Ovis aries: one gene and its partners. The protein of the gene in region 3 interacts with the protein of the main gene of each other region in a pairwise test. Links are inferred from orthologs where the notes say so. Each region holds a gene or a part of one and is shown on either strand. Other genes may lie near its edges. The genes, in order: NRAP, RCHY1 and KLHL41.

Region 1 (3,658 bases), on a different chromosome or scaffold from region 3:
GTGTATATATGTGTGTATGTAGGTGTGAATATGTGTGCACGTGTATACATGGTGTATATACATGTGCGTATATACACGAATGTGTATATACATGCCTGTGTGCACATTTGTGTGTGTGTGGTCTGTGTGTGTGTATATGTGTGTTATCTCTGTGTGTATATGGTGGATGCGTGTTTACATGCATGTGTACATACTTGAATGTGTGTGTGCATGCATGTGTATGCATACGTGTACACACACATGTGCGTCTCTGTGTATATGCATATATGTGTGTACGTGTGCGTGTGCCTGTGTACAGAACAACTGGCTGCTGAGACCCCTTTCTCCTCCTTTCCCACCAGGGGAAAAATCAAGTGGACACTCATGTCCCTTCTAGGCCCCAGATCTTACAACCCCCCTGGGGAATGTTGTGTATTGCATCCTTACTCCCTTTTCTTCTCTGGGAGACTTTGCCAATTGAATAAAAAACAGATTCATAGTGCACGTGCTAAAATTAAAAAAGCAAAGAAAGGGATTCTTCAGTTACAGCGATGAAGGTGAAATGGCATTTGAAGCTGGTCAACATTTTTCTGTTTTTTTAAATATGGCTCTTTGAAAAATAAATACATAAATAAATATTTACTAAGACAGAGTTTCCTGTTTGGTAGGTGTGAATGGAACTTTTAGCAGAATAGAACATCTAGATTCTCTCCTATTCAGAGAATGAACTTTAGCCCTTAATGCTTCCTTATTCCACAAATAACATTTATGGCTTTTTTCCTCTTCCTATTTCCTCCGAATAGTCATGAGCCCTGTGAAAGGTCTCTAGGGAGGCAGGCACCGCCCCCCCCCTCCCCGCTGCCTATACTGTGGGAGAAGGGCAGAAAATACAGATTCCTGTGGACTTTGGTCACGTGATTCTGATTCCTTTAGTCAATGGCTCTAAAGGAGGGCGATTTTGCCCCCTAGGGGATATTTGGTGACATCTGAGGGACTTTTTCTGGTCAAAACTGGGAAGGTAAGAATACTGGTGACATCTAGTGGATAGAGACCACCCATCTTGCTCAGCATCCTGCCGTGAGCTAGACAGGCCGCCCCCAACAAGAAATAAAGTGGCCCCAAATGTCAGTGGAGCTGCTTACAAGAAACTTTGCCATGAGTTTATGTAGTGTTCAAGGTAACTTCTCAATAGCCAAGTGAAAAGGCATGTAAAGATTCCTCAATTTATGTACTTATACACATGTTAGTGCTGCATTAAGGAAGCCCAGACAAAGTGCCCTTGACAGGGAACTAGAATTCCCGGGTTCTAAACCTGGCTTTGCTCACCTGCTGAATGATCTCAGTAAGTTCACTTCTCTTCTCTGAGCTGCTTTCCTCATCTGTAAAATTAATGATTTAGATTTCAACTTGTTTAAGTTGCAGATTTCTGGGCTCCATCTTGGATCTCAAGCATTATGATATCTGGGTTTGAACCTAAGCCCTGATATTTTCTTTTGTGGTTAGTTCTTCTTATGTTCTCCTTGAGAAATCTTTGCCTATTCTGAAATCATGAAAATATGGTTAGATGTCAGTTCTCTTCAAATTGATTGACACAGTCAGTGCAGTCCCAGCCAAAACTCTGGTGTTGTTCATAAAAATAGACAAACTGATTCTAAAATTGATATGAACATACAGTGATTCTAGAATGGCCAAGAAATCTTGAAGAACAAAATCAAAGGACTTAGGTTACCAGGTTTTTAGGCTCCTCTGTCCATGAAATTTTCCAGGCAAGAGTACTGAAGTGGGTTGCCATTCCCTTCTCCAGAGGATCTTCCCCATCCAAGGATCGAACCCAGGTCTCCTACGTGGCAGGTGGATTCTTTACCATCTGAGCCACCAGGGTGCCTCTTGTGGTTGTTAACTCAGTGTAGTATTGGCACTACTGTAGAACTGACAGCTCAGTGGAAAACAATACCAGGTCAAGAAGTAGAGGTGCACACATGTGGTCACCTGAGTTACAACAAAGGCACCGCTGCAATTCAGTGCAGCAAGAATCATCTTTAAATAAATGGTACCTGAGTGACTGGACACTTTACGTAGAAGAGATGGACCTTGACACCTACCTCATACCTATACATAAACACTAACGCAAGGTGTGTTACGGATCAAGATGTGAAAGGTGGAATCATAAAGCATGTTCTCCTACACCTCATGAATTTGAGGAGCCAGCATTGAACAAGCTCCCCGAGTGTTAGGAACCACTGCTCTCACGTCTGGTGTTTTCTAAGCTGAATACTTGGTACTGTGTGATGAGCTTGTAGAGACATTGTCTTTTTATTAGCGCTGCACAATAGAGCTTTGCACACAGTAGGTGCTATCCACGTGCCACTTGGCTGATAGTACAGATGAAGCCGGTGGTGACACTTGACAGTACAGTGTGGCTTGTCATACAGTTACGAAGCTCTGCAGTTGAGACGTAGGATCCGCTCCCCCCACCACCCCCAATTCAGTTCTGTATTGTCTGTTACCTTGCTCGTTTCTGATGGAAACATTGCTGATGACATCTTCACTGTGCAGATCGGTGGCCAGGAGGATGGTGAACGGTTTAAGTCGGTTTTTCACTGGGACATGAAATCCAAGGATGAGGCCGCCGCACCTAACAGGCAACCACTGGTGGATGAGGTGAGGCGAGAGTTAGAAACAGGTTTGGAAGCAGAGAAAAGAATGGCACGTTGTGCAGATGACATGTGTAGTCAGCATTACTTTGCGAGGGAATTGGTTAAGCTTTCTTCTATCCATCTTGTCATTCCAGCTGTCTACAGAAGACCTCCATGGTCTGTTTCCCACATTCTCACGATACTTGGTATTACCAGACAAAAGTTTTGACCTGTATCTTGTTTTTTTCTATTTAAACTTTCCTGATTGAGCGTATTTTCACATATGAATGATCTGACTTTTCAGATCGCCAAAGGATGGTTCTACCCAACCTGTCCAACTTGCCATACCTCCAGCCCGCTTGGCTCCCTATCTCTTCCCCCCAGTTCCAGTCAAATCCATTTCCTCATGGTCTTTCACGTGAAGTCTATCATTGCCCTCATGCTTTTACTCATGGCAGTCCCCACTCTTAGAATTTATTCAACATGTGTGTGGGGTATTTTTTTTTTTTTTGGCCTTTTTAAAATCAGCATGTGTGTATGGAGTATTATATGCCAAGCACTATTCCAGGCTGCTGGAATACATCAGTGCACAAAACAGACAAAAATCTCTGCCTTCATGGAACAGACCTCCTTGAGCAGATGCTTTTCCTTGCCTCTCTGCATCATCTGGTAACCGACCTCATCCCTGGAGGTCCAGCTCAAATTCCTGTCCAAATCAGGGGGCCTCACATGGAGATTGGTTTTTGAAAACTCTCACTGTGTTTATCTTCAATACAGTACATATAATCACCAAACATTTTCTAATCACTGTTTCATATGTTAGTTTTATCTCCCTAGAGAAACCACACATATCTTAAAAGAGGAACTTTGTCTTCTTCTTTTTTGATTTTCTTTTCCTAGTGTTAATTGCTTAATCTAGCACTTGGCACACAACAGGTAGCAGATTTTTGAAGGTTGGCTGAATAATGCTGATTAAGCTCAGATAGATGGCCTGTTCACATCAACTCCCCGCTGCCCCATCTTGGTGCAATAATGTGCAAAAA
Region 2 (3,658 bases), on a different chromosome or scaffold from region 3:
AAAGCAGAGTGCATACACAATGGGCATCTGTAGCCTCTAGGAGAGATATAAAAGAGTTATTTTCCCAGTATTAAATGGAGAGTATATCAACTCGGGCTAACTGGTATATAACCCATCTAAAACAAGCATTATTCTATACTTCAAGACCATCTCACAAACCTTTTCATTTAAATCCTGTATCGTAGGGTATTTTTTAAACCTACTTCTTTTTCCTCAGTTCTATAAAATGGAGAGGAATTTAATATTCTTTGTAGAATATACGTAATATATTTTAAAAACCAATTAAACTGCTTTTTAGCTAAACAGCCTCAATTTCTTAATATATTCAGGCAAAGAAGAGATTGTATTCCTTAAAATTTATTCAGATCATGTTATTTTCTTTCTAAAAATTCTGAAACTGTTCCCTTCTATCTGGCTCTTAAATTAAAATTTCTGCTCATCAGTTTGCAGGACCAAAATACATTTACACAATTTCCTCTAACTATCTGCATCTCACTTTAGCATCCTTTCCCCACAACAAAATTAGCATTAGATAAATCTTGGTATGAGTTTTGGATTTTTTTTGCAGCTCATCATAGTGGACTAATACAACAGCTAATAATTTTGGGCAACATGTCTCAGCATTTTTATTTTTACAATGGTATGACTATCTCAACAGACACCAAGCTCCCCAATTAGTAGCCAGGGAATGAAAGGTATCTGTCTCAAATTGCAAATGAGATATGACATAATAGAAACATGAGGACTAAGGCAAAGTCCAGTGTTTCTCTCCCAACATGCTTTGCCCAATTTAACAGTACTCATCTATCCTACCCATCTCAAAGGAAATATCCACCATATCCAAATATGGTATAAGTAACTGGGAGTCTTGTCCATTCCCTTCCCCACTCGCCTGCAAAAAAAACAAAAAACAAAAACAGACATCTTACAGTAACAATTTTTTATAATCCCATCAAACACTTACTCTTTCAACATGTCTTCATAACACGTTCTGAAAGAAAATATAACATTATTTTAATGAAGCAAAAAGTATCTCCACCATTTCCAAACATTTTTGAGGAAAAAAAACAAAGTTACTTTACTTATGTAAAAGATGTCCACATGGCAAGACACGAGCAACAATACGAGATGTGTGAATGTCCTGTAAAAGCAAATAAAGTTGGTGGTTAATTACATGAATAAAATATAAATACCCAGTATTTTAAATTCAAAAGGGGCTATTTCCAAAGCAAAAAATATTTTAAGCTCACCTCCAAACATATTGGACAATCCTGCCGGGAAACATTTTCAATACACTGTTTAAAAGCAAAATTAAAATTACCAAAAGCTTAACTAGATGTTAATTATATAACCACAGCATTAATAACAAAAAACAAAAGAAACAATACCAACTTACTAAATGTAATAATGAACATTAATATGTTTCTTATATGTCAGACAAGAACTGAACAGTTAACTCTCACAACTATTTCAGGCTTTACACATTACCTGAAACAATGAAATTGCCTAATATATCTTAATTATTCAAATTATTTTCATTTTACAGATAAATAGTAATAGTTCATATTAAAGACATTTTACTACATGCCATATGTCAAGTTCATTACCTGCTATTCTCAATTAATTTCCACAACACTGAAACACATACAATTAGTTACCCCATTTCACAGATGAGGTATTTGAGGCCTGTGCATGCATTCAAGTGTGCTCAGTCATGTCCAAGGCTTTGTAACTCCATGGACTGTGGCCCACCAGGCTCCTCTGTCCATAAAATTTTCCAGGCAAGAATACTGGAGTAGGTTGCCATTTCCTTCTCCAGGGGATCTTCCTGACCCAGGGATTGAACCCGCATCTCGAGCACTGGCAGGCGGGTTCTTTACCACTGCACAACCTGGGAAATCCCTTTGAGATCTGGAGAAGCTAAATTACATGCTATCAAGAAATGGAAATATATGTGTGCTCCTGAGTTCTTAACTTGACAAGACAAGGTCTGATTAGGTGTGAAGAGGTAAGAGAAAGCATCAAGCCATAAATGATACCCAGGCTTTTTAGCAAACACCTGAGTAGATGATACCACCACTTACTAACAGAGACAATAAAAAAATAACCGAGAAACAAAACAAAAATACCATAAGAGAAACTGAGTATATAGTTTTCTAAAGACAACACAGCATATCTAACGGCAACACAGCATAGTTAATCAGCCTAAACTCAAGTCTGTAAAACCAGATCCAATCTTTTACCATCTCCTACAGTCTATTGATAAAGTACTTAAAGCCAGGACTAAAATCCTCAGGAGTCATCTTCATTCAGCCCCCATTCTCTCTCCCTTACACTTGTCACTGTACTCCCTATTGTCATTATTCACCTCAGTTTCTCTTCCTACCTCAGTATTTTAGGCTAGCTAGGATCTAGCAGGGCTTCTCTCGTGGCTCAGCTGGTAAAGAATCTGCCTGCAATGCAGGAGACCCAGGTTCGATTCCTGGGTCAGAAGATCCCCTGGAGAAGGAAATGGCAACCCACTCCAGTATTCTTGCCTGGGAAATCCCACAGACAGAGCTGGGCAGGCTAACAGTCCATGGGAACACAGAGTAGGACACAACTGTGTGACTAATTTTCACTTTTTCATTATCTAGTATCTTTTTAAAAACACCCTCATCAGATTCTCCATTCTCTCAATTCTTGGATAGAATCAGTACTATAAGCGATAGCTTATTAGATTTTCTCCTAAATAATGAAAAATAATTTTTAAAAGACCTAAGACCATGATATAAATAGGTCAAGCAATAGGTCAAAATTCTACATCCAAGTTGAAAATATTTTTATTGAAAAGGAATACTGGATTATCTAGGAATGCTATATTAACAAAAGGTTACACTGCTCTGTATTTCTCCTGTACCATACATTTTAAAAGCTATTCTCAAAACCAGTTCCAATGATAAGAATCCACAGGCTAATTTAGAGGCTGTCGACGTTATACTAATAACTGATGTTAAGTATTCTTACACACTATAGAGAAGAAAAGGGAACTGTACATCAAATATTCCAAGGTCTGTACTTTAGAACATTTACTTAATACTGCTTAAAAATAAAAAGCAACATGACAGTACTCAGTAACATCTGAAAGTTAGCATGCTTTTAAACAAATTAGGATTTTAGCTGTTTTCAAATATAATACTTTTTAAATCATACAAACTAAAGTACGTACCTTGTGCTTCCCTTGGAGATTCACTGCAAGGCATAAGTTACATTTCAAACAGTGGAAATAATCTTCCTTTGGACCAATTCTAAAAAAATAATGTGAAAACAAAAGATTACATATGTTTTTATTACATAGTTACTCATTATATATAAGTTCAGATTCACTATAAACAAAGTTCAAACCACACTGAAGAATATGAGGTGAATCCCTACCTCCCCAACATCACTCCCCAAATGCAAGCACTACAAACAGAATGGTATCTATCTTTCCAAGTATTTTTTTCTTCTATAAAACTGCATACACACATACATACAGATACACACGCTTTGAGTTTTATTTTTTACACAAATGGATTCTATCCTGTTTTGCAACTTCTTCTTCACTTAACAGTATTCCTTGGAGAGTATTCTATGTAAGAACATACAGAACCACTTTATTCTTCTTCAAAGTTACATA
Region 3 (2,936 bases):
AGAGAGGAAAGACTCAGCAAGGGGGTGAGATGGGTAAACACTGGAAGTGGCAGAAAAAAAGGATGAAATAATGGAGGGCTGGAAAGGTTTGGGTTTTTGAAAAACAGGGATAATTCTTGCTTGGAAAACAAGAATAGGCAGTGATTCTCAACTCTAACATAGGCATCAGCTAATTTTAAAATTATTTTAAATCTCATTCACTCATCACAGAATGATTTGGGGGTATTTCCTATGTGCCAAGTATTGATAGCTTCTGGAGAAGGGAAGATACTAAAGTGAATAAAATACATGTAACTTTGAGCTTGTTGAGGACATAAATATAAAAACATTAAAATAGGATGATAATTGTTATCATCAATGGATACCATATAAAGAACACCGTAAGAAATGAAGACAAAACAAACTGCTTCAGGAAGGCGAGAAGGGCTTCAGAGAGAAGGCAATGTTGAGGAATTTCTCATGCAGAGATGGCATTTCAAGCACCAGGCACCAGGCAAAGGAAAAGGGTCTCAAAGGGACTCAAGTTGTCTGTGTCTTCATGACCCTGAATATTCAGAGAGGGTGACCAGTTCTTACCTAAGGTCCAGTGCAAAGTCTAAGAGCAGCACTCACACAGGACAGTAAAGGGGAAGAGCAAGTTTCTTACAGAGTGACCCCTAGTGTCAGTGCCTTGCATCACACTGGTGTATGGCTACAGCTGAAATCAGAATCAAGGCGACTTAATTGTCTCTGCTCTTCCCAGTTCTTACTCTTTGCTGACCTGGATTCATGGGGACCAGCCATCTTTAGCAGTCCAGAGGTGAAGGATTAATTGCCTGTTACTTATCATCACTGGACAGTCTTTGATTCCCAGAGAAGGTTTAACTGACTAAGCATCCAGATCAAATACCGTGGCAATAATTTGGGTATATGCTCAGAGAATGCACATTTTTGGAGGAATTCAAGGGTTAGTCTAAGAGTCAGGTGCATCTTCCTCTGGGTAAGATCAAATGGGTTTTTCTCAGAGAAATATTTAATACCAGGAGATCTATAGAACTGTCTACTTTAAAACAACTTATTACATTCTTTTTCTCCATCAGGTATGAAGACGATAAAAAAGAATGGGCTGGGATGCTGAAGGAAATACGTTATGCTTCAGGAGCTAGTTGCCTAGCAACACGGTTAAATCTCTTCAAACTGTCTAAGCTATAAACAAGAAGGTGAAAAAATATAATAGATAGGGAGGTGGTCTGTTTGGATAATAGGGCCTTAATTTATTGTTTTTAAAAAGCCTATACAGAGATTCCATGTAGAAATTATCTACTTTGTTATTGTCCAAGAGATTAGCAGTGGGCATCAAAACCTCAAAGTTACTGAATTTTCAATGTAATAATCAGAGCTTAAAAAAATAATAAATGTTAAATTGAACAGATTATTTCTCTTGTTAATCTGTCTCAATCAATTATAAAGGAGCTTCCTAAATTTGAGTTTATTAATCCTTTCATTTGCATTGTTAAGGTGCCTTTACACTCCTTTTTCTATTACAAATGAAACTGGAGAATGAAATATGTACATTTACATAAAACAAATTTTTAATAGCAAAAACCTTTCCTCATGCTTCAAGATATTACAAGAACCCTGTGCAGTATATTAAAGATTATATGCTGTGAGAAGACTTTGGAAACGGAATAAATGGATTTCATTTGAAAGGGAAAAGTCTCTAAGCAAAAATAGTCAAATTCAAGTTTTCTTTCTTTTCTCCCCTTTCTTTATGCAACACTGGTATATTGTGATTTAAATCAAATTTTAAATTAAAAACCAGTAAATCACAGTCTTCAAGTCCTTAACTGCAGTACCTGTAGGTTGGGAGGCAATCTTAGGAAAAGGATTGATTCCTTAAATGCTGGGGCAGAATTTGGGGCCAGCAGGTGGTATGGAGAAAGGTGTGTATTCATTGCTTTGAGTTTTATCTATACTTTAAAGAGCTACCTATTTGCAAATTTCTGATAGAAAGAAGGATGACTGTATTATTCTATTTTCTGGGATGTAAAACCCTACATTGAAATTGTTTGTTCTTAGCATACATAGCAAGATGACATCTCAGTCTGTCCAAAACCATTACATTCTACTGTCTGCAAGTCATGAACTTAATCATGGCATATGGGTCTCATGTGCTTTCACAGACATGTTTGACTTCTAGCCTTATCTGTGTTATTTTCTGAGAGGCCTGAATTGGAACTGACTTGGAGTATTCCATTATTACTTGTTAAGCAACTGCATAAAAATATGAATGTTCATATTTATAAAATAAAGCTATAGCTTTATTTTCTGCATCATAAATATGGAAATATTCAATAAAATTTAGTCTTACTATGGATCTCTGAAGTATAATCTTGAGTACTTTTCTATATTGAACTGCACCCTGAGTATACAATCAGCAAATCCCAAAGGTGGGCAACTACAGGTTATTTAGCAGATAAATTGTTAAGAAGGAGAGATGCTAATAGATTAAGACAGACTTAAAAACTGGGGTAGGAGGGACTTCCCTGGCAGTCCAGTGGTTAGGACTCTGCACTTCCAGTGCAGGGGTCTGGGGTTCGATCCATGGTTGAGGATCTTCCTGAATGCTGCGTGGTGTGGTCAAAAAAATTAAAATGCACAAAAAGAATGTTTTTAAAGATTAGGTAGAGAAAAATACGGTAGGGGTGGGAAATTATGATGTCTAGAGATGCAAACTTGGGTGAGAGAATTATTAAGGGGAAGTCTTTACTATAAGAACATGACGGTGGTGACAGAATTATTAAGGGGAAGTCTACTATAAAAGCATGATAGTGGTTACTTTGTGGGGGAGAGTGCTGATCTATGTAGACATGAGATTAAGTTGTAAAAACAATGCTTTGGGATGATGTTCTAGAATAAATAACTTCTAGAATTAGGTAGTGATGATGTTCTAGAAT

The links.
Region 1: the proteins of KLHL41 (region 3) and NRAP interact in binary tests that used the Homo sapiens proteins (3 or more experiments, as listed by UniProt). The link is inferred for Ovis aries from reciprocal best matches to the Homo sapiens genes KLHL41 and NRAP.
Region 2: the proteins of KLHL41 (region 3) and RCHY1 interact in binary tests that used the Homo sapiens proteins (3 or more experiments, as listed by UniProt). The two-hybrid records come from large-scale screens. The link is inferred for Ovis aries from reciprocal best matches to the Homo sapiens genes KLHL41 and RCHY1.

Annotation. Positions count from the first base shown.
Region 1 is NC_056075.1:33,668,814-33,672,471, reverse strand, and holds part of NRAP (nebulin-related-anchoring protein), read left to right. Parts: intron 1-2,535; coding exon 2,536-2,640; intron 2,641-3,658. UniProt on the Homo sapiens protein: May be involved in anchoring the terminal actin filaments in the myofibril to the membrane and in transmitting tension from the myofibrils to the extracellular matrix.
Region 2 is NC_056059.1:91,098,616-91,102,273, forward strand, and holds part of RCHY1 (RING finger and CHY zinc finger domain-containing protein 1), read right to left. Parts: intron 3,288-3,658; coding exon 3,209-3,287; intron 1,296-3,208; coding exon 1,251-1,295; intron 1,142-1,250; coding exon 1,083-1,141; intron 992-1,082; coding exon 965-991; intron 37-964; coding exon 1-36. UniProt on the Homo sapiens protein: E3 ubiquitin-protein ligase that mediates ubiquitination of target proteins, including p53/TP53, TP73, HDAC1 and CDKN1B. Mediates ubiquitination and degradation of p53/TP53; preferentially acts on tetrameric p53/TP53.
Region 3 is NC_056055.1:139,969,198-139,972,133, reverse strand, and holds the end of KLHL41 (kelch-like protein 41), read left to right. Parts: intron 1-1,079; coding exon 1,080-1,191; 3' UTR 1,192-2,356; downstream 2,357-2,936. UniProt on the Homo sapiens protein: Involved in skeletal muscle development and differentiation. Regulates proliferation and differentiation of myoblasts and plays a role in myofibril assembly by promoting lateral fusion of adjacent thin fibrils into mature, wide myofibrils.